Linked DNA regions of Lepisosteus oculatus. The protein of the gene in region 1 interacts with the protein of each later gene in a biochemical or structural test. Links are inferred from orthologs where the notes say so. Each region holds a gene or a part of one and is shown in the gene's direction. Other genes may lie near its edges.

Region 1 (3,756 bases):
TAATGCCCCAGTATAGTGATGGGGACACTATACTGTAAACAGGCGCTGTCCTTTGGATGAGATATAAAACCTAGGTCATTAAAAATCCCAGGGGGTTTCTCGAAAAGAGTAGGGGTGTAACCACATCCTCCTGGCCAAAATTCCCAATTTCCCTTACCAATCATGGCCTCCTAAGTAATGGCTTCATTACTCTGCTCTCCTCCCCACTGATAGCTAATGTGTGGTGAGCGTTCTGGTGCACTATGGCTGCCGTTGCATAATCCAGGTGGATGCTGCACAATGGTGGAGGGGAGTCCCCATTACCTGTAAAGTGCTTTGAGTGGAGTGTCCAGAAAAGTGCTATATAAGTGTAAGCAATTATTGTTACTGTATACCTGTACATGGCTGGAGTGACAAATAAACTTGAATTTGAACTTGACAAGGGCCGGGGGGAATTTGGCCGGGACACCAGGGCGGTCACACTCCTAATTTTTCTGAGAAAGGCCCTGAAGTTTTTAACGATCACAGGGAATCACGGCCTCGTTTTAACGCCTCCTCTAAAGAACAGCAGAGATACTGTGCCATACTGTGGCTTTAGCACCCACAAAGACCCGGTGAGCACCCCCTACTGGTCCCACTAAAACCTCTCCCACCAGCAACCATAGCCTTCCCAGGAGGTCTCTTATCCAGGTACTGACCAGGCTCCATGTGCTTAGCTTCAGTGGGCTGTCAGTTGCACGATGATATAGCTACTAGAACTATAAAAACTAAACAGCCGTTTCGATGTAGAATAACACTGGTCGTGTGCATTTATCTAGGAATGTGGCAGGCGTTTGTTAAAGCTTAATTTAATATTTCATCTTTTATTAAAACGTAGCTTGTTCCTTTTTTTTAAGTTACGGATAACTTCCTGTTCACAGTATGAAGAGAGAACGAGAACACTCTTTCTTACTCGCCCTGAAGAGGGAAAATACAGACCTTCGTGATACGTCTACACTGGTAGCGCTTATGATACAGCTGTACCGTTTTGCTTTTAGTAATTGATATTTAATACTAGAGATACAATAATGACAGACATTTGCCTATAATTTATGACTACTATTGAGGGAATTTCTGCAAGGGGCACTCCAATCAAAAAGGTTTGAAAACCCCCATGCTACCCACTGTTCCTGAAAGCGCTTGATGTCACATGCGTAACTTCCGGCTCTTTAACATAAATTGTACGGAAAGCAAGCGAAAAAAGAGAAGGTACCCGGAGAGGAATCAAACTAAGGACGCGAAAGGGGACACACACTGTGACAGGTAAGTACCAACGTGTAGCAATTATGTTTATTGAGAACATGAAAATTTACAGTATTTAAATGCCTTATTTAGGGAAACGGTGCCAGATAGGACATAATTGTTTAAAGTACATCACCTTGTTCCTTTGCATTACAATCCGGATAGTACCAGGAATACGTTCGGAAATATACAGCGAAATGAGAATGCGCATTTTACTGAAATATAGCATAGAAATTTATAAAGATTTTGCGGTCGTCGGAGATGTCATGGACTTGGACACTTTCAGTTAGTGTTTCGAAACCATGAAGGGATCCCTGGTACTTTCGGTAACATGTTAGTTTCAGCCACTAGTTAAACATGATAAGAATAACACTGTCAAATTGAATATCTTACTTTTATAGCAGTAACTTAATTCTAGATATTTTCCCTATAATGAGCAAGAATGTTTCCTGCGTTTTAAATATAGATTTAGCTTGCTTACCGCTTACGAAACAGACTGCATACGAATTTCTCATGTATGAAAGGTGAGATTACTTTACCTACAGATGAGAAACATTAAGGGTTACTTTAATGTAAATACGAGAACAATATTAATACTAGAAGCTGAAGTGTATACTTTGGCTTTTGGTGTACTTACAGTGTATTGAATTTGGCGGTGTCGGTAATCCAGCTTTCAACACTTTCAAGCGCATGGTGCCGTTGGACATTTAAGATCTAGTTGGGTTTTCATTTAAAATATTAAAGAAAATTCTGCAATAGCACAAGATGTTTTATTAATAGGTTATTGGTGTTATGTCTTTAACAACAGAGACATCAGGGTTCTTAGCATTAGGGTCTTAAAATGCTATTGAATATTTAACCAGGTAAATCAATAGACAGACCTTTTTCTTATTTACTGTCTGGAAGTGCCAATTCATTATTTTGAATACCTTGCTCAATGGTACAACTGTGATGGGATTTTAACTTGCCATCTTCCAGTTAAAAATCCAGAGCCCCTAAACACTAAACTGAAGAACAACAGGAGTTTTAACTGAGGCATGTTTATCTAAATGCAATTTTATGTAGTGTTGTCTCTTTGTAGGAACAATAGATATACATAACATTATTTTAAGAAAAGTCTGCCCTCTACAAAATTTGGAGAGTTTTATAGGTTAAGTAGTTGAGCTGTTATGGCTCTGGTATTGGCTGTATCTAACTTTGCTTACAGTAAATTAAAAATGACCAGTGTGTGAGTTTATTATAGGTCTGTAATAATAGGTTAGAGTCTGTAAGACCTCTACCAATGTTTTTAGTTTTATTACAGTTTTAAGTTAATCTTATTGGAAGATACCAGATTAGTTAAAATTATGTTGCTCCTTTTCAAAATAGGTTTCATTTTGTGTCACTTATTATGAATTTGGTTTGTGTGACATTTTGCAGTGTGAAACTTGTTTTTAGAAGGATCAAATGTTTGTTTGTTTTTTGAAAAGGACACGTGTTACAGGTTCAAAGTGTGGGAACAAGGGCTGTGATTGATCGGGGTATGTTGTTGCTAAACAATTAACCTAGTGCTCATGCAACTACACAATATTGATTTGTATGCTTGGACACGTTTAAGTTCTTATTAAATTCTAACAATAATCTACATGTTAAAGCGAGAGTAAGGATTATTTTATCCAGTAATTTATTAGTTTAGATCTTAGGTTGCCAGGTGTGTTAAGAGACTGTAAGGGAGTGCCGCATTCCTGGGCTGTACTTTGTGTCCCTTACACTATTCATGATTTGCTTTGATGAACAATGTACTATCGGCTGGTTACTAACAAATCTAGCAGCTAGGTTCAGTACCCTTGTTTAAATCTTAGGTACACATCATTTCTCATCTAAGTCTCTTACACCAGAATTCCCTAGTCTTCATAAAATGCAGTGCCCACTCACAACACCTACCTCGTTGAAATTGCTGTTTGTGTATGTATTTTAGTGTAGTCAAGAATGTATTTCATAAATGACTATGATAATATTTTGAACAATTTTCAAAACTCTGTGAACAACAAAATCTACAAAGCTAGTTTGAGATGTGAGTAGTAGAATCCCTCTAGTACTCAGAGTGAAATGTCCAATTTAACTTAAGCAATTTGCTTTACCCCTGTTGCTACCTATTTCATTCTTGTCATGTGGTTAAGCATCCATAGTTTCCTTACAGCATTACAGCATGAAGATTTTTCATTGTGCCTGACCTGCATGTTCTTTGAGTGTGTCTTTTGCATGAGAATGTTAAATAATACAGCTGACTTTCAAAATGTTACAGTCCAGATCCTACAGAGTTTGGGGAATTTAGAAGACAGTTAATGGAGTAGAGAGCAAAATGTAAAGTGGCACACTTCAAAAACTAATGAAGGTGGCAGTTTGATGATTACTGTATATACTTAAGCAGGATAAACTATAACTGCAGTTACAGCAATTTATAGTACGACTGCATGGATAGACCTAAATTGATTTGAGAGGAGTACTTTAAAAAAA
Region 2 (3,756 bases), on another chromosome or scaffold:
TCTGATTAATCAGAACCATTGACAGAATATTGCTGCCGGCGCCATCTGTCAGCTGTCAACAGCTGCGTTTCCACGAGCTTTCAACTATTGACTAACCTCAAATCTATAAACCCGGGTGATGGTGGGGGTTTGCCGTCTAATCACCAGTTGTGTTAACACCAGTCTTAACTGATTACAGAAGAAGCACAGCCACAAGGTTTGTTCCCATTAGTTACATATAGTTAGAAATTTCATACTAACTGCATGTTTTGCACTGATGCACTTGTGTATTTTCATCCTCTTCATTGAATTTTCTTCTCTATATTCCTTCACACAGTTTTCCAAAAGACCTTTTTTAATGGTTTGCTCTAACTATTGAATTATCATGAATATTTAGGGTGCTGAAAACCTGTTTTCAGAGAATAGGATCAACCCATCCAAAAATTGGTCCCCCAGGTACTTCCTCCGCACTAATCTAGAGAGAGCAAGTGTGTTCAGCCCAGGGAGAGCTATAGAACAGAGCAAAGAAGAGCACTGAGGTGGATTTTCAGAATAGAGGAGGTACTGTAGGAGGGGACACTGCGTGTCAAAATGTGGCATGAAAAATTGTAGTGCAAAATGATAATTGGATCGTTTCCTTACAAACGTTTTTTTTGGAGATGATAATACCTGTTGTACGTGCATAATTCCATAAACGCAATACTGATGTTGGCATTCCATTGCTAATGGATTGGTAAAACGTGATTAATGTATTATTTTGAGAAGCAAAAGACTATTAACCATGAACTGAAGATCTGGATTACACAGTTTCTGTTTAGTTTTTTTTAGAAAATAGAGAAATGGAGTGATCTTACAGATCTTTGTGAAATTGTGAGTTATGTTTAATTTCTTGATCAGAAGATACCAGGGTGCCCTAAAATCAGATGGCATCAAGACGATGTCAGTCACTGCTGGGGTTAAAGTTGCCCGAATAATCCCTGGCGTTTTGTGAATTCAGAGTGCTGTGTGCAAGGAATGTCAAGTAGTTCTGCCTGATGGTCTAGTCTGCTGGCACTGGAACAAGGCTGCCTTACTCCACACGTTAACCACAGTGAGCCTTCTTGTGTGTTTTGGTTCTTTTTACTCGTGTTTTATGCTTAATCTGGTATTGCATTTACTTAATTTGTCCTCTTTTTGTCATCGTCAGAAGAAGAAAATAACATTTTATTGCTGGGACGATGGGTGATTTTTAAATCCTCGATCTTGTGTTCCTTGATCTTTAACTTAAATCCTCTTTAGACGCTGGAGCTGGGTTTCCCTCTCTTCTAAGACTTTAATTCTGAAGATAATCGTGCACTCTGGTGCTTTAGGAGAACCATGGCAATTTCACTGAGTTAAGTGAGCTAGATTCTTACAAAAGCTGGCTTTGTCTAATCTCGGAAAATATAAGACATTGAGACATTATAGGAGGATCCTTTAAAAATGTGGAATTGATAGCAAATGGAACTGATAACATACTAGTGTTGCACTATAGCCAGGTAGATATAAAAGCTTGTGTGCAAAATTCAAATGTAACATTAGGGCCGCCAGGAGGTCACCGGTGATTCTCCCATCCATAAGGCACCGTCTTCCACATCTCTCACTGTGAGAGAAAATATTTTCAAAATAATCATACCGAAAACGAGCATGATTATTCAGAATGCACTTACTACACTTGGGGCATCCTTCTGAAATGTAATTACCTGACGCATTCTGGCTGTGGCTATGATTACTGTGGATATACCGTGTCATGAAATAAAAGGCTTTAAGCGACTGGGTGACCTATTTAGGGCTCTAGACTCCTCACCTGGTGCAGACCACTATAGTTACATGACTTGTTACCTGCTCTGTGGATGGAAGGAAGATTTATGGTCAGTCTTGTATGTTTACTGTAGGTGATTATAAGACCTATATTATCTGTAACACCTATTCAAAATCCAAGTATTCAAGTATTCTCAAACGTCATTTAAATTATACGCGATGACACTACTATTCACACTTGCTTGTAAATAGCTTGCTTTGAACATAAACCTGGATGTCAGAAACCAGCTTTTGTTTTTGAAATAGTGCCATTACTGCCGGTGAAGAGTAGTGGTTGGGTTTCTGAACTTTGGACTAGAAAGCTGGTATAAATGAGTGTTGGAGACTGGTGCTGTTCCTGTGAGTGACCTGCTCAAACAGATTGCTACAGCAAACCAAGTTGTGGAAATGGCCAAATAAGTATATAAAAAGCAAAATATATTTACTTAACTTTTTTAAGCTACTTTGGATAAATTAAGGTCTCCCGTGTGTTTTTTTTCCCTTGGACCAGCTTGGCATGTTAGTATCCTGTGGGTTATCAGTCTTTATAGTTGGAGGAGTTTAGGAGTGACGCTCGGATCATAAAGGGTGGCTCGCTCATAATACAGCCCTGCCTGTGGGTTTGTTGGTGAGGGTATCCGGTGTGGAGTTCAGAGATCCCTTTTGAAGTGTGTGATGAGGGCCTGGGGGAATGACAGTGTTTAATGGCTGTGAAGGACATGGTGCCCTCACACGAGGGTATAAAGGCTTTGTCTGCACGAGAGGCCAGCTTGTCTCTCTCGGGTTGGGATGGAGAACTGGGCCAAAGCGAGGAGGAAGACCGCAGTACTTCGCATCATCTCTGACACCCATCCTGCAGGTGAGGCTTTTCCACAGGGGGCTCGAGGGGTGTGAGGTGGGTTCTTCTGCCACATCATGACTGTGCCTCCACTTTTCATAGAAGAGTGGGGTGGTGGTGGGGGGGAGATATAAAAATGGGAAATATATCTTTTTTTTTTCTTTGCTTAGTCACTGCAGGCTGAGACTTGTGTTGTGGAGTACCGTGGCCTGTCGTAATAATCACGACGTGAGAGTTTTCCAGTGTTTCAACTCGGAGTAAAGCTTAACAAAGCTTAAAAGTATGTAGCAACAGTGCTAGGTGTCCTTTCACACAGGAAACACAGGAACAAGACAGACATCACTGTAGTGCCAAAGACAGCCCCGCTTTTGAGCTCACTAGGTAACAAATCCCTGTTTCCAAGACATGTGTTGGGTAGAGTGGCTCCTATGCAACATTCCCTTCACCAGTCAACACCTACTGTAGGTCCGCATGTCACAAGTCTTTAAAATCCTTAGGGGGGACAGCTGACGGCACTAAGGTGGTGTACCTGCCTGTGGATTCCACTGCAAAGCTGGGAGCTGTTCGGAAATGAAAGAGCGCAGGGGCTTGTCAGTAGTGAGAGTAAACCATCTGGACTAGAGTTCTCAGCGACATCAGGGTTGAACAAATCCCACACAGTTCTCTGTGGGCTGCTGCATGTATGTGTGTATTTTTCTTCCTGTCACCTGAGCCCCACAACAAGGAAACTGTACAAGGACAAATAAAGCAAGTGGAACCATCCTGTAAGACATTAGTGTTTAGTCTCCAAGAAATAGATTTACAATTTTCAAAGGATACAGGAAGGTTTATTTTCCTCTGAATAATTTGTTGGATCTATTTTTTCTGGCCTCCAAAGAAATACAAGCTAATTTGTCACTTTCTTTTACAAAGAAATATAGATTGACACGAGTGGTATAAACGGGAGGCTTGAGTCCCTGAATTTATTTGTGAAAAGGGAAGCACAATTCAAAGCTCTCTGATATTCAGGAGAAAAATCAATACCACGCCAGGTGATTAGAAAGCAACTGAAGTTCAGACTCCCTGCTGCTCTTGTTGAGATTTAATGAGATGGAAAAATGTATGCTGGGTTTCTGAAGAGA

Evidence for each region. The genes of interacting proteins can lie anywhere in the genome.
Region 2: the proteins of xiap (region 1) and septin-5-like form a complex in vitro, tested with the Homo sapiens proteins (4 studies listed by BioGRID, with this or other methods). The link is inferred for Lepisosteus oculatus from reciprocal best matches to the Homo sapiens genes XIAP and SEPTIN4.

Annotation. Positions count from the first base shown.
Region 1 is NC_090703.1:41,706,301-41,710,056, forward strand, and holds the start of xiap (E3 ubiquitin-protein ligase XIAP), read left to right. Parts: upstream 1-983; 5' UTR 984-1,281; intron 1,282-3,756.
Region 2 is NC_090721.1:6,134,467-6,138,222, forward strand, and holds the start of septin-5-like, read left to right. Parts: upstream 1-818; 5' UTR 819-2,488; coding exon 2,489-2,656; intron 2,657-3,756. UniProt on the Homo sapiens protein: Filament-forming cytoskeletal GTPase. Pro-apoptotic protein involved in LGR5-positive intestinal stem cell and Paneth cell expansion in the intestines, via its interaction with XIAP. May also play a role in the regulation of cell fate in the intestine.